Arabidopsis thaliana: one gene and its partner. The protein of the gene in region 1 purifies or fractionates together with the protein of each later gene. This does not show direct contact. Each region holds a gene or a part of one and is shown on either strand. Other genes may lie near its edges. The genes, in order: PDX1.1 and EMB1241.

Region 1 (3,959 bases):
TAAAGAAAAACCTAAAAGATCTTCTTTGTTGATGTGAACACGTAACCGATAAACCCTTGGGAAAACCGAATATTTAAATAAACCTGTTTCCCTCGTTGTTTTCTAACAATCGAGACTTCATTTGTGTATAGTATATACTTGAATAGGAAAATAACTTTGAGTGAAGTAAGAGGAAATAGAGGAAGTAGAAGTGTTAATGTTAGTGAGTTTTTTTTGTTTGAAAGTATTGCCTTTTAGGGATATAAACTGACTATGTTAAGGCTCTCAAGTTATAGGAATGCCATTCTTCTATCGGTCGTCGCTGAAGGATATTGCATTTCGTGACACCGCTTGGTCATGGAATCTAATTCAGGGTTAGTCAAATGGAAGTTCCTGCTTAAGATGCATTGATTACATTGCTTATCATGAGTTAATAAAAGTTCTTTACAGGGAGTGGTATGATTCAATTGGATATAAGTAAGTCTAAAGGTTATTATCTTACTGTGGCTAACTTGAAGAGGAAGGACATAGAGGTAATTATAATCAAGTTATGACTTTGGATTAAGTTTTGGTTTCTGTTGTGTTTCTGCACAGTCCACAGTACACTGTTTTACTTGACATAATGTTTGTTCAGGTGGAACTGGATATTGATGTGAAGGCTGTCTTGTATGATACTAAACAAACATCCTACAATTGTTCCTTCAGCAATGGCGAGTGCTCATTCAAAATGAATGAAAGGTACCCTGTTGAAAATTATGCTGTCGTAACTTCACCAGCACTGGGTCAGGTATGTACTCGTAATACGAAACACTAACAATATTGTTACTGTTATTATTATTATGACTCTTAGCTGAATGAATGTTTGTCTCACTGCCTTAGGGAGTATCCATCGATGATGAATGGTATATCGAGTTGTCATATCAACCTAGATTGATTGCATATGGAAGCTTCACAGGTAAACTTTTCAATCTTTTCAAAGTCAACTTGATTATTGGATTTGAGCATTTGTTAGTTTCTCTGTAACAAGGAAGCAATTACATGTAGTATTATTGCGTATGCAGGTGTGTTGCTTTCCTTCATGCTGGTAGCTATACACTTCTGCAACAAGTTAAAGTGCTGTGGTGGAGAGGGATTTTTATCCGGAGATGATTCAGTGAGAACATGTCTACTTGCAGACAAAGGTGACAATGATTGTTGTAATGATGTCGAAGCAAGTAACAAAAGTCTCTGTGCCATTTGTTTTGATGCTCCAAGAGATTGTTGTTTCCTCCCGTGTGGCCATTGCGTCTCCTGTTACCAATGCGGAACAAAGTAAGTTTTTTATCAACTAAGTACAACTTCTGGATTGCATAATTGTAATGGTAATGTGTTTACCATATTGGGATTGATCTAAAATATTGAACGTTGTGATTTGACAATATTTGCAGGATAAAAAGAACCAAGGGGAGGTGTCCAATATGTCGAAAGAAAATGATACATGTGAAGCGAATCTATACAGCTTAAGATGTATCATTATCTGTCCAATGTGATGTTGAATCGTTAGAGCATTAATAAAAATCATATAATTTGATATTGACAAGGCTCAGGTCTTTCTTTGCATTAATTCGTTTCATCTCTTAACCATCTTTGTGACAACATCATTGGTTAACTACCATAGGGTAGGCAATATAGTGAACCATTGTTTGTTGACTCACATCACAAAATGGTTCGAAACCCGAATCGATAATTAAGGATTTCATAAATTAATTGTTAATTTCTGAATAAATTCGGATTTTGTATATTTCCTCCGTTTCGTAATATAAGTAGTTTTGGACCAATTTTTTTGTTTCACAACATAAGTTGTTTTTAACTTTCTATGTAAATAATATATTATTTTAATATTTTTTGATTATTTATATTATGTAATCTCTTTTATGATTAGCTAAACTTTTTAAAAATAAATATTTTTAATTTGCATATTTTTATTTAAAACAACGTATATTGTGAAATGGAAAGAGTATAAATTATTGATTAAATAATTAAGGACTGTAATTTATTTTATTAAATTTAATATTCTTTTCCAAATTCTCCACATATTTTATACCATAAAAAAAGAACAACACCCTTACACACATAACATATCCGAATCAGTGGTTCTTCGACATCACACGATGGTATAGGGAAATGAGCTTCCACGTCAACAAGATAATAATCTCTTCGGGACTATACATTTACAACAAAAAGAAACAAATCTTGTGGTCAAAGTTTCCATACGTAGCTTCTCTTCTCTACACTCACGTCCACCACAATCCTCGTGCTCCTTCCTCTAAACCCGTCCGATTCACGTACTTTTACTATCTTTTCTCAATCCAACAGCTCACAGTCCACAAACAAATTTCAAATCGCGTCCTATAAAATCCCCTCTCCTCTGCTCCACACTCTCTCAAAACCCTAGAAAAAATGGCAGGAACCGGAGTTGTGGCGGTGTACGGCGAAGGAGCCATGACGGAGACGAAACAGAAATCTCCCTTCTCCGTGAAAGTTGGTCTCGCTCAGATGCTTCGTGGCGGTGTAATCATGGATGTCGTCAACGCAGAGCAAGCTCGAATCGCTGAAGAAGCTGGCGCATGCGCCGTGATGGCTCTTGAACGTGTTCCCGCCGATATTCGAGCTCAAGGCGGTGTTGCTCGAATGAGCGATCCAGAGATGATCAAAGAAATCAAAAACGCCGTGACGATTCCGGTGATGGCGAAAGCTAGAATTGGTCATTTCGTTGAAGCTCAGATCCTGGAAGCAATCGGAGTTGATTACGTCGACGAGAGTGAAGTTCTCACTCTCGCCGACGAAGATAATCACATCAACAAACATAATTTCAAAATCCCTTTTGTTTGTGGATGTAGGAATCTCGGTGAAGCTTTAAGGCGGATCCGTGAAGGAGCCGCCATGATAAGAACCAAAGGTGAGGCTGGAACTGGTAACGTTGTTGAAGCCGTTAGGCACGTGAGGAGTGTGAACGGAGCTATTCGGTTACTTAGAAGCATGGACGATGACGAGGTTTTCACTTACGCGAAAAAGATCGCTGCGCCGTATGATTTGGTTGTGCAGACTAAGGAGCTTGGGAGGTTACCGGTGGTTCAGTTCGCTGCTGGAGGAGTGGCGACGCCGGCGGATGCGGCGTTGATGATGCAGTTGGGATGTGATGGAGTGTTTGTTGGGTCGGGTGTTTTCAAGAGTGGAGATCCGGTGAAGAGGGCTAAGGCTATTGTTCAGGCGGTTACGAATTATAGAGACGCGGCGGTGTTGGCGGAGGTGAGCTGTGGTTTAGGTGAAGCCATGGTTGGTCTTAATTTGGATGATAAGGTTGAGAGGTTCGCTAGTCGTTCTGAGTAACCAATCAAATTTCAGATGTTTTTATCCATAACGTTTGTCACTTTAATATGTATCCACAAACCAATATTCTCGATTTATTCAAGATTTTATAGAAAAAAATTGGAAATGAGGAGTTTTGTTGGCTAGTGTGGCCAACCATAATTTCATTGGATTAATGGCAAATTCTACAACTAAACTATGTGAAATTAACAATATCAAACCTCAAGAGAGAGCAGCAATATAATAAGAAAAAGTGAAGATACGGTTTACATATTATTTAGTAACGACTATATCAAGGACATAGGAATAACAGATAATACTTGGAATGTTTATCAATTATTATCTAGTTAATAACAGTGAGTCGACTTGGTTTTTTCCACAAGGACCCTTTTGCCTTATCAGAGAACGGTACTCGTCGAACCTGATTGGTTTATAAAGAGCAGGTCGGTTTGCAGTTACTAGTTCTTCGATTGGTCCAACCGGGATATCACTTCTCGGGTTATAGAAGAATGCCAAAGAGACTCGTTCCATACCGGAATTAACGATCACTTGATGTTCCACGCTTTTGTAAATTCCATTGCTAAGTATCTACACATTGATATATCCATCGGTTAGTATTTAATTTGTAGAGT
Region 2 (5,159 bases), on another chromosome or scaffold:
ACAGTAGAACTCGTTCGTTTGAATATTTTTTTAAGTTTGTGTAATCTTTCTTTGTAAGCGAAGAGTTTTGGACGAATAATTTGAGACAAACTTGACTACGAGAAAACTAGCTGAGGGTAGGATTTGAACCCAAAACTTGGTCATAATCCTTTTTGAGTTCCCAAAATTCACTGATAGTGTTAAGCGGAATCGTTCATTCAAAATATATACTATATGTAGGCTATTTGGGAATATCTTATACACTTTTTTGTAAGAAAATTAGACATATTTATCTATTGTTTTTAAAAAAAAATTGTAAAAAAACGAGATCTAAGTTTATTGTCAAGTTAAACAAATAGAGAATTACGGGACGATAAAAAGAAGGAAACTAAATGATTAGAGACTTTATTTTTATTTTTCTCAATCGACGTGATGACCAATTTGATACAGACTCATAATCTATATGATATACCCAGGTGGAAGACCCATGCGTTGCATGCGTTAGAATTAATATAATAAAATACAACCTGTTGTTTAGCTGTTTCTAATTAATATTGAAATATGTTTAGCTGTTGAAAACATATAGAGGTTACCTTTTATTTTTCTCTAACTTATTCATCTCATCTAGTTTATCCAACTCTTTTTTATTATTCAGCTTATCTTTATTCAACTTATCAGTACTCATTTTATTCAGCTAGTTCAATTTGTTAATCACCATTGGAAACTTTTTAGGTGTTTATTTTTAGAAAATACTCTTCATTAAATCTCAAAAGTTCATAAAGTTTTTGGTGTAAACTACTAATTGGAGATTCGATCTAATGTTTTATAAAGTATTTTATATGGTTTAATAAGATTTTAGAAGGTATTTAAAAATGTTTTACAAGGTATTGTTTTACAAGGTATTTATAAGTTATTTTTATACTGTATTTATAAAATATTTATAAGTTTTTACACACATATAAAAGTAGTTTGTATACTTTAATAAAGTTACACACATATTTGAATAAACCTCATATTCTTAGGAGTACTTTTAATAAACAATTAGAAATATAATATTTTTGAAAAGTGGTATTCGAAAAGATGCTTTTGAAATTCTTCCTTTATTTAGCTTCCAATTCTAAACATTTGAACTAAACTATTTGATATTCAATTTTAAAAGCTTATATGGATTGTCACCTCCAAACATATGCTAGATATTTACTTGAGAATTTTTGATAAACATCTACTTACAAAATTTTAACTAAAATAATATATTGAGAAATTGGAAAATGAAAAAGTAAAATGGTCGAAGAAGAATATCTTTTATGATATGTTAGCCTCAACAACGGGTGATATTTAATAATTAGTTTAAAACTTTAGTCACTTTGTAGTTAATACTTCTGATTTAGGATTAAGGTCCGTTGCACCCACTACTTCTGACAAAACTAAGTGTGCGGACTTAGAAAATAGATTAAACATGGATGGTCTCCTATCTCTTTGTTGTCAACCCAAACCGGCAAACCCTGATATTCTCTTATTACTTTTCATCTATAACATATTGAGTACTAGTACTTGACCAAAACAAACATTTAACTATATAGTACATCTCTTTGGGCTTAAGGAAACCCTTTTGTAAATAAAGCCTAAGCCCAAATTGTAGAACTAGTTATAGTCAATAACACAAAATTGCTTCTAAAAATTTCCCAAATCTCAAGTCTTATTATGTTATTTTCAACAACGATATGCATGAGATCATGATACAATTTGAATCTGCAATAACAAAACTGATACAAATTGGTAAAAACATATTTTATTGTCGAAAATGTTTGAAACATTCAGATCCAAAAGAAAGGCAAGGCGAAATTGATACAACTACAAATCATTCAAATATTCTTATGTCAGAACAACAGTTCCTGGATAAATTTGCTCCCACTTGAAGAAAAGTGTAGTCATCGCTAGAGAAGATGAAGAGATTCGTGATGAAGTGGACTTGGAAAAAGAGTTGAACCATAAGAGTGGAAGACAACTTACAAAGAGTTTGGAGACATCATACCAGGAATCAGTTAGATCATTGGCATAGAACATCGAACAGCCTTCTCGAGTATTAATTTACAGAGATTTTATTGTATTATATAAAATATTCACAAAACTGTAGAAGTTTCAAGAAAATCTAAATCCGACGGTTGAAAAACTCCCTACGTAATCTCTGTTGAACAACAACGGTCCGATCAACATAGTAAAAACGAAAAGTAAATCCAACGGTTAAAAAAACGAAACAAAACAAAAGATCCGACGAGGAAGAGTAGAACCGTTTGCCCTCTCTCTCTCTATCTTCCTTATCTCTCTCCGCCACTCTCCTTCTCTTTCTCCGAACTCTTCGATGGCCGGTCTACTCAAAACGCCGTCTTTACATCTCACACCAACTCTTCTTCATGCTCCTTCTGTACCCTTTAAGCCCTTTTGCGTATCTTTCGCCGGAGGAAGAAACGTTAGCGTCTCACTCTCTCGCCGAGCTTCTCTCCGGTCTGTCTCTAGCGGCTATCCTCTCCGCTTACTAAACCTCGTACCCTTTGCTTCGGGAGAAGCTGAGACGACGGAGACGGAGGTGGAATCGAACGAACCCGAAGTTCAGGTTTTTCGATTTCGGCTCACTTCTGTTCAACTTTCTTGGGGGTTATTTCATTGTTAGTTCGGTGATTAGGGTTTCGAATTTGGGATATGGTAATTTAGAATTGCTTGTTGTTTGCTTAAATTTTTAAGCTTTATTGATTATATTACCCTCTGAAGGAACGTTCACATGAATTAGAGCAATGAATAGGATTGTATTCAGTCTATTCAGGAGTCAAATGGTGAATGCTAATGTTTCTTAGGATATACCAAATCCGATGAATGACAGATTTCATATTCTTGTGGTATGGTGTGTTCCCAAAATGAAGGAGTTTCACTAGTAGTTTAAGACCATGGTGTGTATGTACTATCCAAATCGAATTTTGATTTCGTGATTCTTGTATGGGGGCCACAGAATGTTCTGAAGCTTTTTTGGTGTTAATCTGATTGTTTAGGAGGTCATTAAAAAATTGTGTCGTTAGTGTGTGTTCTGTCTCAGCTTTTATCAGGAATAGATAGGAAACGTCTATGTAAACTGGATTGCTCTTTTTCTGATTTTTTGTTTCACTTCTGAAATCATGGAGCAGGAGACGGATGGTGCTGTTGATGTCGAGAATGAAAATGCCAGTGCTGAGGAGGGTGAAGCTGAGGAAGAAGAAGCAGCTGTTATCACAGCGTTGCTGAAATCCTATAAAGAAGCTTTAGCAGACAACAACGAGGGGAAGATTGCTGAGATAGAAGCATCTTTAAAGTCCATAGAAGATGAAAAATTTCTGCTTGCGGATAAAGTAGCGTCTTTATCCAATGAGTTATCGGTGGAGAGGGATCGGCTTATAAGAATCAGTGCAGATTTCGACAACTTCAGGAAGAGGACTGAGAGGGAAAGGCTAAACCTTGTTTCAAATGCTCAAGGAGAGGTTGTAGAGAATCTTTTGGCTGTTTTGGATAATTTCGAGAGAGCTAAATCCCAAATTAAGGTGGAGACTGAGGGAGAAGAGAAAGTCACTAATAGCTATCAGAGCATATACAAACAGTTTGTAGAAATTCTGGGATCACTTGGTGTTATCCATGTGGAGACAGTCGGCAAGCAGTTTGATCCAATGGTTAGTTACTATGATATCTTTTCTTCTTTCCGGAGATCGACAACTGTATTTTTGTTGCTCAGCTTGCTGGTGGTTTTAATTTTTAACTATGGACGTGATCTTTAAAATCAAAGTTGTTTTGGAAGTTAGGATAATTCGTTGCTATAGGGCTGCCGGAATAATCTTGAGCAGAACGTAGATATGGTTGTTACTTTGAAAGTTAGCTACATCAGATGGATGGAACAAATTATGCTGAATGATACTTTTGTGATGCAAATGATCAATAAATCTTTGAGGTTTAGGATCACTTATCTCAGTTAGATGCCTTTTGGTTATCGCAAAGCTTGAAATACATAACCACTTATGCGTCTAGTCCTAAGCATGAATCTGCTAAAGTTTTGGAGACTTTAGATGTAAGATGTGGTTGTTACTTTTGCAAGTTGGGTTTAAATGACAATGAGTTGGTAGATATCCTTTTGTTTGTTGGTCTTTTCAAGTCCCTAACAGCTGACATCTCTTTTTTATCCTTTTGCTTTTCTCGTTGTTGTGTGAAAAAAGCTACATGAGGCAATAATGAGAGAAGACTCTGCGGAATACGAAGAGGGTATAGTACTAGAAGAATACAGGAAAGGTTTCTTGCTAGGTGAAAGGCTTTTACGTCCTTCAATGGTGAAAGTATCAGCTGGACCTGGACCAGAAAAGCCCCTTGAAGCTGAAGGAGAAGAAGCCACAGCACAAGGAAGCGCAGAAGAAGAATCATCTTCATCTTGAAATTGAAGATGATCAAGACTCAGCAGTTTTGTGTGCGTGTGTGTGAGAGAGATACAGAGATAAAAGAGGGAGAGGTCTGTTTTACCATTATTGTTGTTATTGTTATTGATACGTTATATCATTTCTACAGAGTCTAGAAGTAATATAGATCGACATTTTTAATGAATTCTTAAGTATTCAATCCGAAAGGGAATGCCATAATTGATTTTTTTTCATCTCTCTATACACAGCTAGAAAATTCGGAAGATTCAGAGAAAATGTTGATAATTGGAAGTTTGGAACAAACAGAAAGTCAATACAGTAAATTGTATTTGAGTACTATGGCCTACGAGTCCAAATTATTGTCCAAGTTTTCTTCTTTTGGTTAGGGTTCTTTGGGTACTTAAATATCTTAAAGAGGAGTTGTCCATTTTGTGTAAAGAAATGTTAGGGCCATGTATGTTGGGTATCTTGGATTGGATTTTTTTTTCTTCTTTCTTTTGTTATTTTTTGGATATTTCTAGTAACGTTGGGATCCATGCATAATGCATTAAACCGGGTAATAGAATAAATAGTGTCATACAGTGAAAGTGTGAAACAATCAATAGTAAATTTTATCCTCAATGATGATAATATATCACATAATTTTTGGATCGGATACGAGGTGTAATCGGCCGGTCCATCTTTAGTCTCCTAGGACAATGCATGTCTTGTGTGAACGTACAAGTACAAATGTTGATTTGCGGTTCTGTTCCGGTTTTT

What was found.
Region 2: the proteins of PDX1.1 (region 1) and EMB1241 fractionate together in Arabidopsis thaliana (co-fractionation; one large-scale study listed by BioGRID). This does not show direct contact.

Annotation. Positions count from the first base shown.
Region 1 is NC_003071.7:16,009,057-16,013,015, forward strand, and holds PDX1.1 (pyridoxine biosynthesis 1.1), read left to right. Parts: upstream 1-2,176; 5' UTR 2,177-2,418; coding exon 2,419-3,348; 3' UTR 3,349-3,459; downstream 3,460-3,959. Other genes in the region: APD3 (RING/U-box superfamily protein), read left to right, coding at 261-353, 430-512, 614-766, 859-934, 1,041-1,290, 1,407-1,482; AT2G38240 (2-oxoglutarate (2OG) and Fe(II)-dependent oxygenase superfamily protein), read right to left, coding at 3,667-3,915. UniProt on the Arabidopsis thaliana protein: Catalyzes the formation of pyridoxal 5'-phosphate from ribose 5-phosphate (RBP), glyceraldehyde 3-phosphate (G3P) and ammonia. The ammonia is provided by PDX2.
Region 2 is NC_003076.8:5,838,819-5,843,977, reverse strand, and holds EMB1241 (Co-chaperone GrpE family protein), read left to right. Parts: upstream 1-2,119; 5' UTR 2,120-2,338; coding exon 2,339-2,590; intron 2,591-3,152; coding exon 3,153-3,668; intron 3,669-4,205; coding exon 4,206-4,418; 3' UTR 4,419-4,639; downstream 4,640-5,159.